2 linked regions of the Astyanax mexicanus genome follow. The protein of the gene in region 2 interacts with the protein of the main gene of each other region in a pairwise test. Links are inferred from orthologs where the notes say so. Each region holds a gene or a part of one and is shown on either strand. Other genes may lie near its edges.

Region 1 (10,322 bases), on a different chromosome or scaffold from region 2:
TGCGCTGATACTGCTGCAAGGTGCATTCTGGGTTATCGGGCTGTAAGAAGTTCACACAAGTCACCTTCCATGCTTCCTCAATAATGAGGGAGGAGCAAGAACACATCCAGGTATTAGTTGTGTACTTGGCTAACTGTGATCTTCTGAATTGGAACAGTACTTGGGCTGCAACTGATGACGTTTCCCCGAGTCCACAACAACACAAGTACAGACAAGAATGCAGATTGAGAAACGGCCTATATCTCTCTCCTTTGACGTCACGAAAATCTCTGGTAATCTCCATCTCCGGTAAAAACAGCACAAATCTTTCAGCTTCTACAAACAAGAAACCCACAGATCTCCTTGCAGAGATCAGCGTTTAAATGCTAATGATATTTCATGAGCCAATGGTGTGTTTAACTCGACTGTGCACTGAAACACACCACTGCTGTTCCGTAACGTTAACGTTTCTGATACAGATTCACTCACTCATTAATATAAGAATTTATTTTATTTATAGTCACATACCTACAACAATAATATACATTAAATCATATATAAATATATTTCACATTCAAACATTAATATTACACAAGGGGTTAATAAATGTTTCATTTTGTATAAGTGTGTAGTTAATCATTCAAGGGAACTGATGAAAAAGCATTTACATTTTTACACCCTTTACATTTTATTCAACTAAGTTTTAGTTGAATACATTCTTATGATATTTAGTCGACTAAAACTAAAAACATTTCAGATGACTAAATTATGACTAAAACTAAATGCTATTTTCTTCACAAGACTATGACTAAAACTAAATCAAAATTTGTTGTCAAAATGAACACTGGTATGATACGATACGGCACACCACTGTTCTCTATATAGCATACTAAAGCCAGAAACACTCGTGTAAAAAATGTGTTGTGTTCCAGGGACCAATTGACTTTCACCTTCCACCTCATCTTCTTCATGGCCCCATCCATCACCCTGATGCCATGACGCCTGCGTAAGCTACAGCCCAGAAATTACAAATCCTCTTTTTTACCACAAAACTCCAATAGTGCTCTCAATTATCCACTTACTTGGAAACCTCAGGGAAAGCAAAACCACACTAGGTGAGCGGTGACCTCACACAGCAGGATTTTCACCACTCGCCCTGCGCACCCGTACGACTCTGAGGGAGATTTCGCAACAACAAACACGTCCAGCATGTGAACTAATTAATCTTCCCAAACACCAGCCCGTGGGCATCGCGGCTGTTTTCATTCGCGCAGGTTATTTAAAGAAAAACAGCGGATCGAGTGGGAAGGAAACGGCTGTCTAGACGCCGGTCCAGGCCAGCCGTACATTTTCCAGCAGCCCCCCTCTCAACCTGCGGCTCTCCCTGACTTTCTCTTCCTCCTTCCATTACTCCCTCCATCCCTCCTTCCATCGTTCTTACGGTGTCCTCCTCTCCACCCCTCCACCTTACGCAGTGGCCACAGGTTGACAGTGTAAACATGCCAGGTGACTAGGAAACGATGGGAGCCCCTGAGCAGAGCAGGTCTCCATGCACGAATGGTCCTCTTTCACACGCCCCGCCGTCGTCTGCTCATTCTCCAACGCAACACGCGCACACTCAGCTAATCAATCACCCGGGCAGCCAGGGCTCACGGCCAACTGCCCGGTCTAGGGCCTCCCCCTTGGGCTAGTAAGTGCATAGCCATTTCAATACAGTACCAAGACATTGACATATTATTTATTAGGGGTGAAACGATTAATTCGAGTTACTCGATTAAAAAAAATTGATAGATTAATTTTTTGTGCCTCAAGTAATTGTTTAATCAATCTTAAAACGCATGTATTTATGTCTATTTTGTGTTTTACTTATTTCTATTTGTCTTTGCAATGTGGCAATGTGGAAATGTATGTTGTGAATTAAAAAATTAAACCAACTGGTCATTCATTATTAAGGGAAATTTCTTATTTTATGAAATCTCTTATTTTATGTTTTGTCTGATTACTCGATTAATCGAATCAATTTTTCAGTAGAGTACTCGATTGCTAAAATAACCGATAGCTGCAGCCCTACTATTTATTATTATAAGTGTTTGCAACTGTTGAACACATCTAAACTCTCTCTATAACCTGTTAAACATCTTTTAATATGCTATAAATTATTCAACCATTCATTGATTAATGATCAAAAGCTTCTAAATGAGTTTCACCAGATTTGACCAAACATAGAAGAGTGGAGAGGTCTGTTTCTTCTCCAGAACCCAGCTTAAAAAAATAAAAATAAAATAATAATAATAATAATAATAATACTAATAATATTAGTATTAGTATTTTATATTATATATATATATATATATATATATATATATATATATATATATATATATATATATATATATATATAAATAATAGTCTTTGTGATGTATCAAGAGCCACGGTATCCAGGGTAATGTCAGCATACCACCAAGAAGGACCAACCACATCCAACAGGATTAACTGTGGATGCAAGAGGAAGCTGTCTGAAAGGGATGTTCGGGTGCTAACCTAGATTGTATCCAAAAAAAATAAAACCACGGCTGCCCAAATCACGGCAGAATTCAATGTGCACCTCAACTCTCCTGTTTCCACCAGAACTGAATATATATATATATATATATATATATATATATATATATATATATATATATATATATATATATTCATATTCATATATATATATATATATATATAGCTATAAAAAAATAAACACAACTGCAACGACCAATCACAGGCGTGGTCACGTAGTGTCTTCGGTCGTGAAGTTCGCCCAGCTTACTGCTGTGAATTGGCAGTAAATTACACTTAATCTTAATAACAACCCAATAAATGTGGATAACTGGTAAACCCTGTTGATGTAGAGGTACTCACTCTGTGATTTTGGGGTCGATATTGCCGATCCACAGGCGATGGCCTTCCTGCGAGGAGCCGCTCGAAAGGATGGAGGCATTCTCCACTGTCTCTGCAGCTGACTGCATCGGGTTCCTGGATTAAGCCAAGAAGAAATACAGACAATTGGTTATCTAGTCCTCCTAGCACACCTGATCCAACAACTGCGTTAATAATCAAGTCTTTCCTAAGGTAAAACAGCTGTATTACAACAAGAAAACACACAAATGTGGAGGGCACAGAGAAATTAGTAGAGCTTAGATCACGCACAAAAAATCCAGCCCGACATGACCCGAGCCTGTTAACGTCCTGCCCAAACCCAACCCGACCCACAAAACTGTTTTTGTGAGCCCAAATTCGATTTATACAATACATGTAAGTAGAGCTTTAAGACTGAGCTTCTTAAAAACATTTTCTGACAGTTTAAATAATGTTCTGAATATGTTCAGAATTATGTTAATTAATATTGCACCACTGAAGAAGCATAGGCCTTTTATTTAAGAACAATGTTGATTAAGAACCTCCCGTCTACTCTAATATAATTAACAATTTCTAAGAATATAAAACACTTTCTGAACAAACCACTTTTTTTAAGTTAAAAATATAGCATTAGTGCAAAAAAAAAAACAAGGCACACTCAATAAACCTAAATAGACCCAGAACAATAACATAATTCGCAATGACTTTTGTCTACTCTAATATAATTTACAATGATTAAGAATATAAAACTTTCTGAACATTTTTATTTTATTTTATGCATATAGTCTACATGCAAAACACATAAAACAACAATGAAGATATGCGCAGACAAGAAGAGAAGCTGAAGTGTTCCAGTTCCAGAGCTGTGTAATTACAACATTCTAACTTTTTTATTTATTTTTTTTATTTGAAACACAGTTTGATTTGTTACTTTGCTATATTGTGATTATTACACCAGAGCTTTACATACAATAAAATAGCATTAAAATGGGGCACAGAGTCTAAGCTCAAGAGTTTAATGACCAAGGTTAAAATCTGCAACCTAAAAGATGAATTTGAAAGACAACAGAAATGGTCCACTGGTCTGTGCCATGAACTGCATGCCAGCTTTAATATTGTGTTAGACTTAGAAAACCCTTTTATTCTCCAAACACAAACCACTGAATTGAGACTTTTTTAAAAACATGTGTGTAACTGGAGTACTCTGGGATCATGGCTAGAACTCTGTATCCTAAAGGATGGGTTTAGAACCAGTAATAACTGAAATAGTTTTGTAGTCTATTCAATCACTATGCCATGAACCACATGCCAACTTTAACACATTATTAGACACAGAATACCCTTTCTTCTCTACAAAGAACGGCACTGAATTGACAGGCTTTAATGCAAACATGTGTAATGGAACTACTCTATGACCAGGGTTGAAATCTGCCTTAACAAGATTTTACCCTGCAACCAACTATATAGGTATATAAGAATATCAGTATCAATATTGTATCACATCTCAATATTTTGTTTTGCAATACTGTATTGATTTCCAAAACACAATCCATTGTACTGATTTTTAATTATTAGTTTATACGTAAAGGTTGATGTGACACAGTGGTTTATTTGCCCACTAGAAAGAGGTGGTGTTTTCTGTTGTCATGACACTTTTCTGATACAATAAAAAGTACAATTTTCTGTCGTTCATATTTTAGAAATATGAGGGTGTTTTTATCCTATTAAAGGTTTTTTTTTTATTATTCAATTCTAACAACTGATATATTATTTTGCTTTCAGTATTGCAATATATTGCAAATATTGACAATATATAGAATAGTAACCCATTATATATATAACACATATATAACACATTATATATCATAGGCTATACACGCATAGGCTATCCAAATATGTGCAAGGGAAATTGTTCCAGTATCATTAAAGGATGGGTTTAGGACTATTAATAAATGAAATGGTCAAATGAACTGTCCAAACAGTACAAATTCTTGTTATGAACAACATTAACACAGAACAATGACAGACAACCAGTCAGACAGACAGACAGACAGAAAAGGTGAAAGAGTGATAGAAAAATAATTAACTAGTAATTAACTTATCATGAACGATGCAGACAGACAGATAGACAAATAGATAAAGAAATAACATAGGTATAGCGAGAAAGGATAAACTAGTAAAGTGAATTAACTAACATCATAGCGAATTAACTCACATCATAGACAGACAGACAGACAGACAGACAGACAGACAGACAGACAGACAGACAGACAGACAGATAGATAGATAGATATTAACCCATATGATGTATAATGTAGTTAGCTAGCATTAGCTGTTTACAGGGATAGTTAGCCGGTTAGCTTAGCTTCCCGCTGTGTGCTGGTTGATGTTATTACCGCATTTCTGTTTTTATACTCACCGTAAACTCGCTTTCAGCCGCTTTAAAACCTTCCTATAAACCGCAGCGGAGTCTTGGTGTGTTAATCCCGCCCCATGCCGCTGTTTCCCCGCTGAATCTGAGGTTTATCCGCCCGCGGACTCGCTGCTGTATCAGTCGGTTAGCTCGATTAGCTTTAGCGCTAGCTAGCGGCTCTTAAAGGAACACACAAAGCGGTGACGTTTGATGCGCAGCGCGGTGACGAAGCGCCCAGTAACCGGTGACGTTCTGCACGCGGTGTCCTTCAGTAGACCCGTGTGCTGAATTAAAGTGCATGCTGAGATAAACCTGCGCTGTGAGAGAGTTCAGTAAGTACTCACAGCTCTATTCTGCTCTATTTCTCTTACAGAGCTTCTCTAAAAACAGCTCTTTATTATTATAGCGGTCACTGCTTCAGTGCGCTGTTTAACCTGCAGTATAGGGCTTGTTAGCTGAGCTAGTTAGCTACCTAGCTAACCTAGAGCTGTCAACATTCACACAGATGCATGCTGCTATCTACGGAGCCTCTAAGGGGACACAATGTTTGAAAACAATAATGGGTGGCCACAAAGGTGTGAAAAACATGATCCTAATGCATGGGAATGAGATAATTAAGGCATGTATGTGAATGAGACGATGAAGTTGTAACTTATTAAGATGTGGGAACGAGATCCTAATGCATGGGAATGAAATAACGAAGACCAAGACGTGGGAGCGGGATAATCAAGTCATAGCCAGAGAATAATAAAGCTTGCATTTCTTTAAATTAATCAGCATAAAGAAACTGAATATAACATCAAAGCTCCTTTTATCCTAGAATATTATTTAGTAAGAAAACAGAGTAAACTGGTTTATTTTTATTTTTGTCTCTGAATGAATTATGGTGATATTTTGGAGTATCCTGCAGTGAGACGGGGTATAATTCTAAGTAAAAGACACTTAATTCTCATACTAAAAGCTGATTGGCTCAAACCCTGAGAGCTGCTCGCTTTGTTAGCTGTGGAACAAAAGGAACTTGTGGTCACACCTTAATGACTACAATTTAATTAACTCATTCCTATGCCTTAATTATCTGCTTTTGACGCATTAACGTAAAATATCTTGTTTCCGTGCCTTAGGACCTCATTTCCATGCCTTCAGAAGTGGCCATGCATTATTTTTTTAACATGATGTCACCTTTCTTGCTCCTTAATCAGCTGTATAAGCTGATATTGGGTTTAAAGTGAGTATTGGCACTGTCTATGTGTTTATTGCATAGACTGTGTATAGCTGGACAGAGCATCCTCTCTCTAAAGTAAAGCCACCACAGGTCAGGCGCCCCCTGCTGTTTGGTTTCAGAAAGCTGCGTAACCCCACCCATCCCTATAGGTTTTAATTGCAAAACAGACAACTTTCAATCACGTTTTTTTCTAATATACTGTAACTCTACCTCCTTTATTTCAATGCAACAGCTAGTGTAACCTCTGCTTATATTATGAAAATGGTATATACAGTTGTGGTCAAAAGTTTACATACACTTGTAAAAAAACATAATGTTATGGCTGTCTTGAGTTTTCAATAAGTTCTACAACTCTTATTTTTCTGTGATAGAGTGATCGGAACACATACATGTTTGTCACAAAAAACAGTCATGAAATTTGGTTCTTTCATAAATTTATTATGGGTCTGCTGAAAATGTCACCAAATCTGCTGGGTCAAAAATATACATACAGCAACAAAATTTGTCAATTTTGGTGATGTAGCGAGTTGTGTCAATCAAATTAGCTTCATGTCATGGCCTCTTCACTTCTTGTAAGTGATTCTGATTGACTACAGCTGTTGACTTCTCATGAGCCCATTTAAATAGGGCTCATTTGACCCAGTGATTAGACTCAGCTACAAAAGCTACAATGGGAAAGTCAAAGGAACTCAGTGTGGATCTGAAAAAGCGAATTATTGACTTGAACAAGTCAGGGAAGTCACTTGGAGCCATTTCAAAGCAGCTACAGGTCCCAAGAGCAACTGTGCAGACAATTATACGCAAGTATAAAGTGCATGGAACAGTTGTGTCACTGCCACGATCAGGAAGAAAACGCAAGCTATCACATGCTGCCGAGAGGAGATTGGTCAGGATGGTCAAGAGTCAACCAAGAATCACCAAGAAGCAGGTCTGCAAGGATTTGGAAGCTGATGGAACACAGGTGTCAGTCTCCACAGTCAAGCGTGTTTTACATCGCCATGGACTGAGAGGCTGCCGTGCAAGAAAGAAGCCCTTGCTCCAGAAAAGGCACCTTAAGACTCGGCTGAAGTTTGCTGCTGATCACATGGACAAAGATAAAACCTTCTGGAGGAAAGTTCTCTGGTCAGACGAAACAAAAATTGAGCTGTTTGGCCACAACACCCAGCAATATGTTTGGAGGAGAAAAGGTGAGGCCTTTAATCCCAGGAACACCATGCCTACTGTCAAGCATGGTGGTGGTAGTATTATGCTCTGGGGATGTTTTGCTGCCAGTGGAACTGGTTCTTTGCAGAAAGTAAATGGGATAATGAAGAAGGAGGATTACCTCCAAATTCTGCAGGAAAACTTAAAACCATCAGCCCGAAGGTTGGGTCTTGGGCGCAGTTGGGTGTTCCAACAAGACAATGACCCAAAACACACATCAAAAGTGGTAAAGGAATGGCTAAACCAGGCTAGAATTAAGGTTTTAGAATGGCCTTCCCAAAGTCCTGACTTAAACCCCATTGAGAACATGTGGACAGTGCTAAAGAAACGGGTTCATGCAAGAAAACCATCACATTTAGCTGAACTGCACCAATTCTGTCAAGAAGAGTGGTCAAACATTCGACCTGAAGCTTGCCAGGAGCTTGTGGATGGCTACCAAAAGCGCCTAGTTGCCGTGAAAATGGCCAAGGGACATGTAACCAAATACTAATGTTGCTGTATGTATATTTTTGACCCAGCAGATTTGGTGACATTTTCAGCAGACCCATAATAAATTTATGAAAGAACCAAATTTTATGACTGTTTTTTGTGACAAACATGTATGTGTTCCGATCACTCTATCACAGAAAAATAAGAGTTGTAGAACTTATTGAAAACTCAAGACAGCCATAACATTATGTTTTTTTACAAGTGTATGTAAACTTTTGACCACAACTGTACCCACAGAATTTGTTTTTTAAAATGTTATTCAGCTCTATTCAAAAAAGGTGTGGTTATTGTAAAAGGGCTGGTTATGGGCGGGACCAATAACAGACTGTCAGCTCCACTCCGCTACACTCTGCAGCCTGTGACCTCGAGGCAGCCCTCAGGGGCGGGGTTATTTAAATGAGTAGGCTATCTCTACAGTCTTTCTCCCTCCTCTGGTCTCTACTGCGCAGACTCGGGTTTCAGGATCGCCAACATGGCAGAAGATTTTGGCTTCATTTTCACTGAATGAATGGGAACGGCGACATGGCGTCCATCTTTTTTTACAGTCTCTGGTTTATTGTGAATTTACAGGGTTGTGCATGCTTACACTTAAGATCAAGCTTCAGAAGAGCTTTCCTACATTTTTATACTTGATTCATGCTATTGTCATAAGTTCTACATAGTCCTACTATTAATTGAAATTGAACAGAACCATTCTTAATGGAGAAATACGGTGTAAAATTGACTTGGCTTGTAGTGAAACATTTTACACAAACTCTAGTTGAATACTCCACCTCCAGAAGAAAGTCGTCACTGGTGTACTACGTAAAAGGTGTCAAACAGGTAGACCAAAAACAGCAGCTGATGACAGAAACATTGTGTGTTCAAAGAAAGCATGTAAAAATCATCACAAAAGAGAAAAGTGAAATTGGTTTATACAATATGTTGATCAGTTGATCTTTTTAAATATGAATATATTTTCAGCTCTACAGCAGAAATAAAGAGATTGGCCTCACTGTTCCAATATTTTGGAGGGGAGTGTATATTACCTCCATCTCTCAATATTGTTCACATAATGATCAAATGTCATTGTTTAAACATGTTTTAAACCCCAATTTTCATGGAATGTCCTATTTTTACACATGACTGGAGATGCTTAATCTCAGTTGGATGTGATTTAAAGAAAAGTGTGGGCATACTACTGCTACACGTAATGTCTCAGTATCATTTTTGAATATAGTGAACTATATTATAGCCTGAAATATCACCCACCCCTAATTATCAAGTCAGGGTACAATTTTTTTTTTTTTTTTTTTTTTTTTTTTTACAGTTTTTAGCAAAAGAAAAAAATACACTGTTCTCATTTCCCATTATATATCTACCAGAGACAGATTATATCTGTCCAGTATAATTTACTTTGTTACAGTAGTGTATTCTTGATTTTTTTTTTTTATTAATTCAGTGTTTTGCCATATCGGCAAGAGTATCGTTATTGTGAAAATACCATAAAATATTGTGTTGTATTTTGGTGATATGTCCATTCTGGATCATTGACTTCTGTTACAAATCTGATAAAATTCTTGTATTTTTTAACATCTCAGTTAGGAGTGTGAAATAAATAAAATTGAATTTTCATTTTTGCAGTGCATTAGTGTATTCTTGATTTTATTATAATTTTTTTTTATTCAGTGTTTTGTCATATTGGCAAGAGTATCTTTATTGCAAAAATACTATGAAATATTGTGATACTATTTTATGGCCAAATATCACCCATCCCTATTCACAGCCACTAATACTAATGTGATGTTTTACAGTCCCTGCTAACTCTTCTTTCATGAGCCCGTCTCACACAGTCGAGCGCTGGAGAAATCAGGCCGTCAGGTCTGAGACCACCTGTGCAGCAGTTTTTCCGCTTCACCTGCGCTCTAAAAGCTGCCATCATCCCCTGCTCTGTCTTCTCCTCTTGTCCTGCTCTGATGGTTAGAGTAGCTTTTCAGGTTTGATCTGTTTTTAACCAGAACAGCTGCTGCTTTCATCCGAGCTGCCGCACGCCGTCATCCAGGCCTGATAAAAATCGCTTGTTTTGGGGGCGGCAGTGGCAGCGCCTGCTTTTAGCCCCCGTGCCGTCTGACCGTC
Region 2 (10,671 bases):
GGCGGGTTTTAGACTGACTTTGGGCTGGATATTTTTGTTGGACCTGACAACCCTGAATGAGCAGGTGTCCGGATACTTTTGTCCGTATAGTGTATCTGTACCTACCCTCGTGCTGCGTATTTGTCCCAGTATCACACGTGGGTTTAACCTAGCTAAGCTAAGCTAGCTGTTAGCTCACTATAGGCAGCTATGCAGGAATCCCCGCTCATAGGAGTATATGACGGTCCTATAGAGAAGAAGAACAGCACATATTATTACACTAATAAAATCGGGGGCAGTCAGGTAAGAGGCAGATATTTACTGATATGTAGCTGTCCTGGTAGGAGTGCTTTAAACTGCTACGTTAACCTTCCTACATGCTCCTCGAGACTGGAGTTAAATGCTAGCTAGCAGTGCGGTTCCCTTTAACTTAGTGGTGACAACTTTGACTAAATTCAGAAATAAGACCGGCAGAATTAGTTAGTAACAGGTTGTTGAGTTAGGCCGGTTAATAAGAATCTAAATTAGCTAGTTCGTTTGCTAGCTAACTAGGCTAGGTAAGCAGTCTAGAGAGCTAACGTTAGCTTGGTTATCCAAGCCAACAAGCTAAAGGGCTTGTTTTTTAATAGGGAACAAATGTTCAGACCCCAGTCAGAGAGAGACAGCTAACTAGCCAGCTTATTAATTCTGATTTTTGAGCGTTCCAGTCAATTTAAATGAGCCATTCGGCCATTAAAAGTTTTCTGGTCACGCTAAGACGAGCTAAGTTAACTAAACTAACGTTAGGTTAGCTAACATAGCTTGCTAGCAGGTTTTGTGAGGACCTGACAGACGCAGTGACAGCTCCATTAGCCGGTGTTCTGTCGAATTTTCCTACCCATCGATACATGCTTCCCAAAGGTACTGCGCATGCGCCGACCTACACAATTTAATTATTTCTCGAGTTTTATGTATAATTACTCGGGTTTAGGGGGGTTTATATGCATTAAACGACCTGGACGCACTATCATTGCACAAAAGTGTAAATGGAAACTAAAAATTACACTTATTATCATAAATAAATACAAAAGCAGTTTGTAATGAGCTATATTTACTATAGCTTTGCCATGGTACAATGAATTATGCAATCCAAATCTAATAACGTACATCTACTGGAATATCACTGGGTACATGCCCTAAAATAGTGCTTCTTTTGTATTTTTACAGTTAAATATACATTTGGGCAGCACGGTTCGACAAGGTAGCAGAATTCGACAGAACACCGGTGTTCTGTCGAGTTGTGCTGCCTTGCCAAACATTGCTATCCTAGTAGTATTTCATTTTTAAAATGTTAAAAATACAAAAAAGCACCATATTAGAAACCGTATTAGAAAATACTCTCAGACAAATTCTAGATAGGCTATGTAGATTGGCTAAATCGCTGTACAAAGTAAAGTTTAAAAAGTTAAGGTCATAACGTTACGTGATGAGAAACGTGCATTTTTCATTTTATTGTTTTATAGTTTATTATTATTATTAACGACTATTTACAGTGTTTTTATTATGCTAGCAGGTTGTTTAATGCTCCCAATAAAAATGTTAGGAATTATCATGAAAAACGTGGAAATATATATAAAAAAATGTTTGTTGGCGCATGCGCAGTGTCGTAAAGGAGCGACAGTAAGACAGTAAGAGAAAAAAAACTTCTACACAAAAAAACTGCTTTTTTATTTACAAAGGTTATTTTTGTTTGATATTAAAGTTTGTTTGGTAATCTGAAAATGAATATGACAAAAAAAAAGCAAAAATGAAAGAAATCTTTGTGGAGGCGAATCCTTTTTCACGGAACGCATTACTCATTTACTCAAGTGAATGAAAAAGTAGTTTAGACAGGATCTTAGTAGTTTAGTTGATATCCACTGTGTTACTGTCAATGGTATACATTACCTCAAATGACTGAAGTATCAAACGTGTAGTTTTTTTAATTTATTTTGATCTGGTATCGGAGGTATCGATATTTCAGTATCGGTCTGCAAATCATTAGTGTTAACACAGTTTCGGTTCGTATTTAAGTATTTTTCAGATATTTTATAACATTTAAATATCTTTGCTAGTGATGTTTAACCTTTGTGTACAGTTAATATGTTTTAATAGTCAAACAAGCACACATGCAGCTATACTAACCTAACTGGATAGCATGCAGTAGCATTAGTTTACAGGTTCAGGTAAATAGCAGGACATACACCATATAAACAACAAATTGGTACAATTGCTTAATCCTTGTTACTTTTGAAATCAAAGATATTAAAATTAGTTTATGCTAATTCTGTTTAAGAAACTGACTGCTATTCAGACAAGTCATTTCACTATGATTAGGATTACACTTATTTTGGAACACTGCAGTGAGAATTTGATTACATTATGTGTCAGAATGGTCAGTATGCAGGATGTTGGATGATTACCACCCTATCTGACTTCATCCCCAACTTTTCAACTCATCCTAAAAGTATTAAACAATACTGGAGGACTTTTACACTTTTATAACAATACATGTCTCCAAAAAGTCCTATTCTGTTGGCAGTACTTATTTAAAGAGACTAGACAAGCACCCCAATGGGTACAGCTTGAAGTAAATAGTATTCAAGATTCAAGAGATTCAAGATTCAAAGAGTTTATTGTCATATGTACAGTACAGAAACGGGTTTCAGTGTACAATGAAATTCTTTCTTTGCTCTTCGCCAAGAATGCCAAATAGAAGATAGAAAAAGTGCAAAAAAATACAATAAGGTTATAAATATTAAACTAATTGTCAAAGACATAAAAAAATAAAAGTTACTTAAGCAAAGAAATGTATAAAAAAAAGTGCAAGTGCGAAATAATGCAGTTATGGACATTAACTATATATATTAAAAAAAGATTAACAGTAAAGTGACGGCTGCAATGTAAACATGTTGAAGTAAAGTGAAGGGTTATTCCTGAGTTGTGTTCAAGAGTCTGATCGCAGGGTTATACCTGAGGTGTGTTTAGAGTCTGAAGGCAGGGTCATTCCTTAGGTGTGTTCAAGAGTCTGATGGCCGTGGGGAAGAAACTGTTCTTTAACCTGGTGGTCTTGCATTTTACACTTCTGTACCTCCGGCCTGAGGGCAGAAGTGTGAACAGTCCATGCTGGGGATGGGTGGAGTCTTTGAGGATGGATGCAGCTCTCCTGTGGACTCTGTGGTGGTAGATGCTCTGCAAGGAGGGCAGTGGAGTCCTGATGATCTTCTCGGCAGTCTTCACCACAGAATGCATTTAAAAAAAGATGGCAGTTTGGCATTTTATTTTCCATGACAGAGATTCTCCCCAATATATTATATATATATAGAGAGTTTCAGTACAAAATCAGGGTATTAAAAGTAGCACTGACAATATAGGTTTACATTGATTATCTTGCATGTGATGTATGTTTATTACAGGACCTGATTCCTGGTATTTCTGCTACATATTACCGGTGTGCTCTGTGTGATGGGATCCTCACTCATGTCGTGCAGATCTACTGCCCTCTTGCTGCGTCTCCATATCACCGCACCATTAATGTGTTTGCTTGCACTAATCCACAGTGTTATGGCAAGCCAGAAAGGTAAATTATCATTTTCATATTAATTAAGACACAGTTTACGCTGTTGCCCAATATTTATTCTGGTGGCTTCTTCTTGTGTCTAGCTGGAAAGTTCTGCGTTCGCAGTGCTTGGAGTCTGAAATGAAGGACATCAATAAAGATAATCAGCAGGTGAAACAAGCCCCGGTGTTCGCAACAGACTGGTGTGATGAGGCCGATGACTGGGGGATGGAAGCTGAGGACAGTGAAGCTGAGATCTGTCCACACACTAATCTAGACACAGCTCAGACAGTGACAGAGAGACAGCCGGACACACAAACAGCTGGACCAGTCGACAGTATTGGACTTGAGGGCCTCTGTTTAAATGGATCAGGGGACAGGGAATGTGCCGTAGCTCCTACTGCAGTACCCACTTTTCAGTCATTTTACATCAGTGTGGCGGAGGAGACAGACTTAGTGGGCCAGAACAATGTGGAACATGCTAACAAACTTTTGAAGGAATATCAGGAGAGGGAGGGAGTTGCTGTTGGAGAGCTTGAAAGGTGAGGACATTTTTTGAATGGCTTGCGAAAGCTAACAAGGCACCCCTGAAAAACAACTAATTTGATCTTATTTCCACTACATTTTAAAAGTTGACAGTTTTAAACTATAATGAATTCTAGTGATTTCAGAAGTGCATGCTAATTTATAAATAAACACAGCAGTGCTGACTGGTTGTTTTTGCCCCGCCTGTTCACAATTCACCTGTAGCGTGATCCTTGCCAATGAAACCAAAATGAGGAGCTAATTAGAAATGTTCTGTTGTTAAAAAAACAAAACAAACAAACATATGTTTTAAAGTTACCGCCGCGGCTGACTTTTGCCAATTCAAGTGTAGATATAATTTCAAACAGATGGAGCTAAATCACAAGTCAAGCAGGCTGCGGCACAGTAAAGTGTAGCTATTTAATTGTATTTAATTTAACAGATGAATTACAACTGTCATGTAAACAAAGTGAATGGTACAAATGAATATATATCATACTTTATGTATAAACTACTAGCAATGGATAGTCAGACTGAAATTTGATTGCTGTGTGGGATAGAATATGAAAAACCACTCATTACATAGTAACATTGCTTCAGCCTCTTTCTGTGCTATGCTAAAGACGGTTGCTAGCCTAAAATGTACCACTAATAGTTTTTCGCTTTTTTGTGCATTTTTGCATTAATCCGAACTTGGAGAAGGCACCAGTTTCGGCTGATTAACTCAACAATAACGTACTGCATGGGGAGTTTTGTTTTTGTTTTGGTTGTGTCTTGGAGAAAAGGATTTATTTATCACCTCCAGAAGGGTTTGCGCAATCGAATTTGAACCTCTTTTAAATGTGTCTTAGTTGCGTTAACACTTGCATTCTTAACTGAGGATCAATGATGGATCTTTACCTGAATGCATTTTTACATTTTACTAGGTTAATGTGAAGGAAATCTATGACATGATACTTTGTGTGTAAATACATTATCCTTAAAAAAAAACACAGGACAGGACAATAGTGCATGTTAAATTGGTTGCTTTAAAATAATAAATAATTAAGCACAAAGTATTTCAGTTTTATTGTCAGATTCTGCTTTTGTGTTATACTTTCAATTCTTTACATTTTTTCAAATAATAAATATTCAAATATATATTTTTTTCTCTTGAAATAAATTTTCCTCGTATTTTGAATTTTTATTCAGTTGTGAAGGAGAAGGAAGAGGGGAGAAGTATGAGAAGGCAGAACCCAAACACGGAGATGCCTTCTTCTCCAATTTCATGAAAAGAATATCTCTCTGTCCAGAACAAGTTCTTCGGTGAGTGGATTGCAAAGGAAACAGTAGCAAGTCCCTAGTAAACAATAACTAACTACAAGATTTATATCTGTATGAGCTGATTTTAATGTAAATACTTTGATGTTTTATTAATATATGCTCTGTTATAATATGTTGCAGATACAGTTGGAGAGGCTCACCTTTGTTTATATGTGAACGTCCTTCAAATATTCATCAGATGGAGCCACCCTGTGCACAGTGTGGCAGTCCTAGAGTTTTTGAATTTCAGCTCATGCCTGCACTCGTCAGTTTGCTTCGTAGTACAGATTTAAGTTCAGGTTTGTCTGACTTAGCTCTTGTTTTTTCAGTATATGTTAAATACAGAGACCATGCTGGTTGTATCCTGTGTCAAAAATTATGAGAGCTTTGCTACATTTACTTGTTTTCTTTAAAACAGAAGTAGATGATATGTGTATAGTTTATATAATTTTTTGTGGCCTTTAGACACTGCGATAATACAAATCATAAATTATTAATTTCTGTATTGATTCTGGTGTTTTCCTCCTTTGTACTTCTTCAGAGCTCGTTTTGGAGTTTGGGACAGTGATGGTCTACACCTGCAGAGAGAGCTGCTGGACTTCTGGATCGAACACACCTGTTGAGGAATTCCTTTTAGTACAAGCTGACCCTGATCAAAAGCTGTTCAAATGACATGATGTATAATAAAGAGCATACCAAAATATCATATTTCTTTTTTTTTTATTATAACTTAATGTAGGATTTAGTATGCATGCAGTATCATGCGGAAGTCAACCAACACTGCTTTATTCAGGCTATTTGACTTACTCTTTTGATGAGGACATATTTCTGAATTGTTTTGACAAAATCCATGGGATAAGCAGTGATTGGACTGTGGGCAGATGTTAAGTCAAGAGGCTTTTACATTTTTTACAGATTCCTCGATTTTCTTGTTTTGGGTACATGCTCCAGGGTAAGCAATGAATTTATTATCATTAACAGCGGTTTAATTATGTCTGGTAGTACGGGTTTTAGTAATTTTGTGGGAACTGTTTCGAGTGTGCAGGTTGTGCTGCTTGATGAGGAGATAATTTTCTCTATTTCTAGCTGCGGAAGTGAGTTAAAAACGTTTTGTTTTATATCAGCCATACATTCCACGCATATATCGAAGTATTGAATGTGAATAATTTCGACACCTTTGTCCCTGGCCTGTGTGAGAAATTGGCCCTGTATGGAGGGGGGTAGTTATGAGGCCTGCATGCGGTGCTGCAGTGCCCGGCTCCTCCTGGTTCTTCACGGGAGCGCAGTTGAGCTCAGAGACGAGACCCGAGTTCATGAGCAGACTTCATCTCTCGCGAGGAAGGACGCCATTATCGGAATCCCTACAAACAACACGAGAATTCATCCTTCTCACGGTAATATAACCCGCTCTGAAGCCCCGCCGCGCGCACAGTGCTGCGGGCAAGGCGGCGCCGGGCGCTTAATTCACGCGTTTTTCATTTTCATTTTTTATTGTTTTCTTTCGCGCCTCATTCATGTTTCAGCAGAGAGGGCTAGTAGGACTGCGGCTCCGGGCCTGGAGCCGTTTCCTCTCTCTGAGTCTTTCAATATTGTTGAACATTGGAGCAAGTTAGCAGGAGCTGGCTAAAGCTACCTAACGTTAGCTGTGTTTATCTTCGCGGGCAGAGAGCGGAGTGTAGCCCCAGACCTAGTAACTGTAGCTACCGGCGGGGACTAACCTACTTAACTAACTAACCAATTTTAGAGCATAAACACGGCTTTTATGGGTTAAAATACGCTGCTGTCGCTGACCAAATTAAATACTTACAACAGAACAATTTGTACTGAATGACCGTGGCTAACTGGCTAGCTAGTTAGTTAGCTTAGCATTTAGTTTAGCATAGGGAGAAATCCAGGTCCAGGAAGTAAAAATCCAGCCCGGGATTTTATTATTTTTTTAGAGTTGTCTAAGCAGCTGGAGCGAAGTCATGGACAGGATTTTTATTTTTTGGATTTTTATTTGTTAAACCACCACAAATGTTAAGCTATCATTTGCCTAGCTAACGTTGGTGTGTGACCTTCTTGGTTAACTGTAACTTATATAGACGAAATGCTTAATTCTGCCATAACAGCATTTGCATTTAACATAAGTAAACAATAAGTAACGATTTAATAAAATGGAGGTAATTAATAAACTAGTGTTTGTATCAGCTGATTGTAATCCACACCTTCTTCACACCCATCTTTCCCATAGTCTATCCTCCTCTGCCCATTCATCAGTCCACAGCTAGCTAATCTTGCTAATTAACTGTATTGCTATTAATTCACATTTTATTATTTAGTTTTAATGATTTTCTACTCAAATAAAAGTTTTTTTTCTACATACACGTTATCTGATTCTGGTGTGAATCATGTGACCTAATACGAATTTCATAAAGCATGCTTATGTAGAAACAAAAAAAATCCATATAAATCTAACGTTATTCACATTCACAAAATAACTAAAGACATTGTAAAAGCACTTCAAACAGAAACTTAGATAGGAACTTAAGCAAAATTGGTGCATCTCAGCCCTGGAGCACCCCCTGCCCCCCTCTCCTAGTAAACCTTATTCAACAAATCAGTTTTATTAATAAAAGGGTGTAGAATCCCCTTTCAAAATTGTTACGATATTTTTTAAAAACAGATTTGGACTGCTGTTTATGAAGATGCAAAAAGATTAAAAAAAGATTCACATTCGCAAAATATTTGCTTTGCATTTCAAAAGATTTATAACTACAAAAAAGCTTGCATCACTTTTACAATTTTATTTGAACCTATGCGAAGGTCAGAGAATTCTCACAAGGACTGTTGCATTTAACAGTCATTTGCAGCCAGTTACATTGTCCTTTCCCCACCAAAGCACTGTGGTTCAGGGCACTTAACAAAGAGGGTAAAAAATGGATTTGTTGAATTATAAAGTTTCATTTAAAGCTGGCAACATTGGTAAGAAAAGATAGCTAAAGTTAAATAAATAAAATATAAAACTTAAAGAGTAAAAATAGATAATACCACTGAAAAAAATATTTTAAGGTTTATCCCAATTAACAAACCTCAGAAAGCAAAACTAGCTCTCCACAGTGAGCTAAACTACACAGAAATACAGGGATGGGTAACTAACCTCTTGAGTAGTAAGCGTCTTTAAAAAAGGAAAACCACCAAATTAAAGAAGGCTAATATATTAGAAACTTTGCCCCATATATGTGAGGAAGTGCTGTTGTCAAGAGAAGGTGTCACAATATGCAAAGATTACACTATATTTTTTCCTGGAACATAACAAACGTCATATTTTGTTCAGAGGTAATAAGAAAAACAAATGAAAACCAAACATTTAAATACAATTCTAATTTTGTTAGAAGCCAGATAAAATAAATGTGAAATATATGTATTTTAGGGGTTTTATTTCTTACTTTTGTATTGTGCAGTGGAAATATTGTGGCATGTTTTACTGATTTGAAATAAATATGTTTGACATCTTTAAGTAGCCTAAATGTAACATTTCAATTCAGATTGTGTATTAACAATCTGACCAATGGTGTGTTGCTGCATGTAAAACATGTATGTGCTTCAAATGAGTTTATAAAAGCAAACACCAGACAGTTCATCAGTTGTTCCTTAACTGTAAATAGTCACACAAACCAAATTTCTTTGCTTTTTTAGGTGTGAATGATGTCCGAGCAGGATCTGGTGGAGATAGTCCAGATTGCTGTGGCAGATCTAAATCATGAGGAACATGATGCAGGTAAGAGAATTGTTTAACTGCCTCTGGTATTTAAATGTTCAAGATAGTCTGTAGGATTACATCGGTTTACAAGTCCTTAATACATGTGTCTTTAAACTTTGTTTTTAGGCTGTTTATTTTCCTTTGACCCTGCAGCCATATTCTCCTTTGCCCTTTTCTTTAAAAAAGTTTTATGAGGCCTGTTTATAAGGCCTGGTGCCTCTATATTTAGCCACTAAAAACCTCCCTCACTGCTCTTATGAATTTTCCCTTCTCCTAGTGCATGTACTGTATATATACTTACTTTTTGACATAATAGCAAATGCCCTAAACTTTAGTATTTTTTAGTATTCTGTGTTTTATAGTTTTTCAACACTGTGGCAGCTGTTTACTATGTGTTGTTTAACATTGCTGTATGTGTATTGGATTAGATGTGTTGGAAAACCATGAAGAGGCTGACAAACCTGAGCGAAAACGAGCGAGGATGGAAAGTAGTAATCAAGATGCAACTCTAAAGGTGAGAACAGCACTTGAGTTTCACTGCTTATTACTACACCATTACTGTGTTCTGTGATTAATTGATGAATGAAAACTTAAACAAGAAGGTAATGTCATGTTTAGATTTGTTTGGTAATTGATTTACATAATTTTCTGTCTGTCATTGCCTCTCTTTAGACAATGCTCGTGTCTATTAGTCAGGCCATCTGCCAAAGGCTGGATAGCATGGAGACCAAGCTCCAGGTGCTGGAGGCTACATGTCGGGCCCTAGAAGAGAAGCTTGACACAGTAATGGGCAAAAACCAGGGACCTATCCGTGTCCCCATGGTGGCTGGATCTCCTTTTGGTGCAACACAAACCTGTGACAAGGTTCGCTGGTGAGTTTGTAGTGGACTTGGTTCACCAGCAAAATGAAAAACAAGTTTCTCATGGTTTTCCTTGCCATTAATGTTTTCTGAGTCAAAAAGGTTCACATTTACCAACTGACTCACTCAGTTTCATGTTGAGCTGGGACTAATTATCACTTTCTCATTTACTTGTTCCATATTGTTGCGTGTTCTCAGTATGGTGCCCCAGACCAATGTGGTAGTGAGTGGTGAGCGTGCTAAAGCAAGCCAGGAGGAGGCACTCCCACGCACAACAGACTCTCTGGAGAACTTACTCAGCAAGTAGGTCTCAAACATCTTTCAGTTCTTTAAATAGTTTCAGTCGAATGTAAATATTCACCAATAAATCTATTAGTGATTTGTTTATTAAAGGTGCCCTTCTGTTTTAAAAGTTTACAACCCACGCCAGTTACACAGAGCTGTGAAACAGGCCAGTTCAAACTAACTCATGATTGTTAGGTAACAGTCCTGGATTAAACATATTTACCATACTGTAGGAGTTTTACCCATCAAAAAAAAACCCACCAGTCAATTTGACTGGGCTACAGTACATTTGGTTTGTTTAGATTTAAAATGGCATAATATATTTTCTTGAGGGCCATGGAACGTTTTGTGGTGGGTTAAGTGAGCCACGAATTGCAAAACGTTGGGAGCCCCTAATGTAA

What was found. The genes of interacting proteins can lie anywhere in the genome.
Region 1: the proteins of protein BANP (region 2) and mrrf interact in binary tests that used the Homo sapiens proteins (3 or more experiments, as listed by UniProt). The two-hybrid records come from large-scale screens. The link is inferred for Astyanax mexicanus from reciprocal best matches to the Homo sapiens genes BANP and MRRF.

Annotation. Positions count from the first base shown.
Region 1 is NC_064427.1:16,584,005-16,594,326, forward strand, and holds the start of mrrf (ribosome-recycling factor, mitochondrial), read left to right. Parts: upstream 1-5,528; 5' UTR 5,529-5,625; intron 5,626-10,322. Other genes in the region: rbm18 (probable RNA-binding protein 18), read right to left, coding at 2,884-2,990. UniProt on the Homo sapiens protein: Responsible for the disassembly of ribosomes from messenger RNA at the termination of mitochondrial protein biosynthesis. Acts in collaboration with GFM2. Promotes mitochondrial ribosome recycling by dissolution of intersubunit contacts.
Region 2 is NC_064409.1:62,588,579-62,599,249, reverse strand, and holds the start of protein BANP, read left to right. Parts: upstream 1-6,569; 5' UTR 6,570-6,777; intron 6,778-9,061; 5' UTR 9,062-9,067; coding exon 9,068-9,143; intron 9,144-9,553; coding exon 9,554-9,639; intron 9,640-9,797; coding exon 9,798-9,997; intron 9,998-10,183; coding exon 10,184-10,288; intron 10,289-10,671. Other genes in the region: pdcd2l (programmed cell death protein 2-like), read left to right, coding at 190-282, 3,414-3,577, 3,661-4,098, 5,273-5,386, 5,525-5,682, 5,925-6,055. UniProt on the Homo sapiens protein: Controls V(D)J recombination during T-cell development by repressing T-cell receptor (TCR) beta enhancer function. Binds to scaffold/matrix attachment region beta (S/MARbeta), an ATC-rich DNA sequence located upstream of the TCR beta enhancer.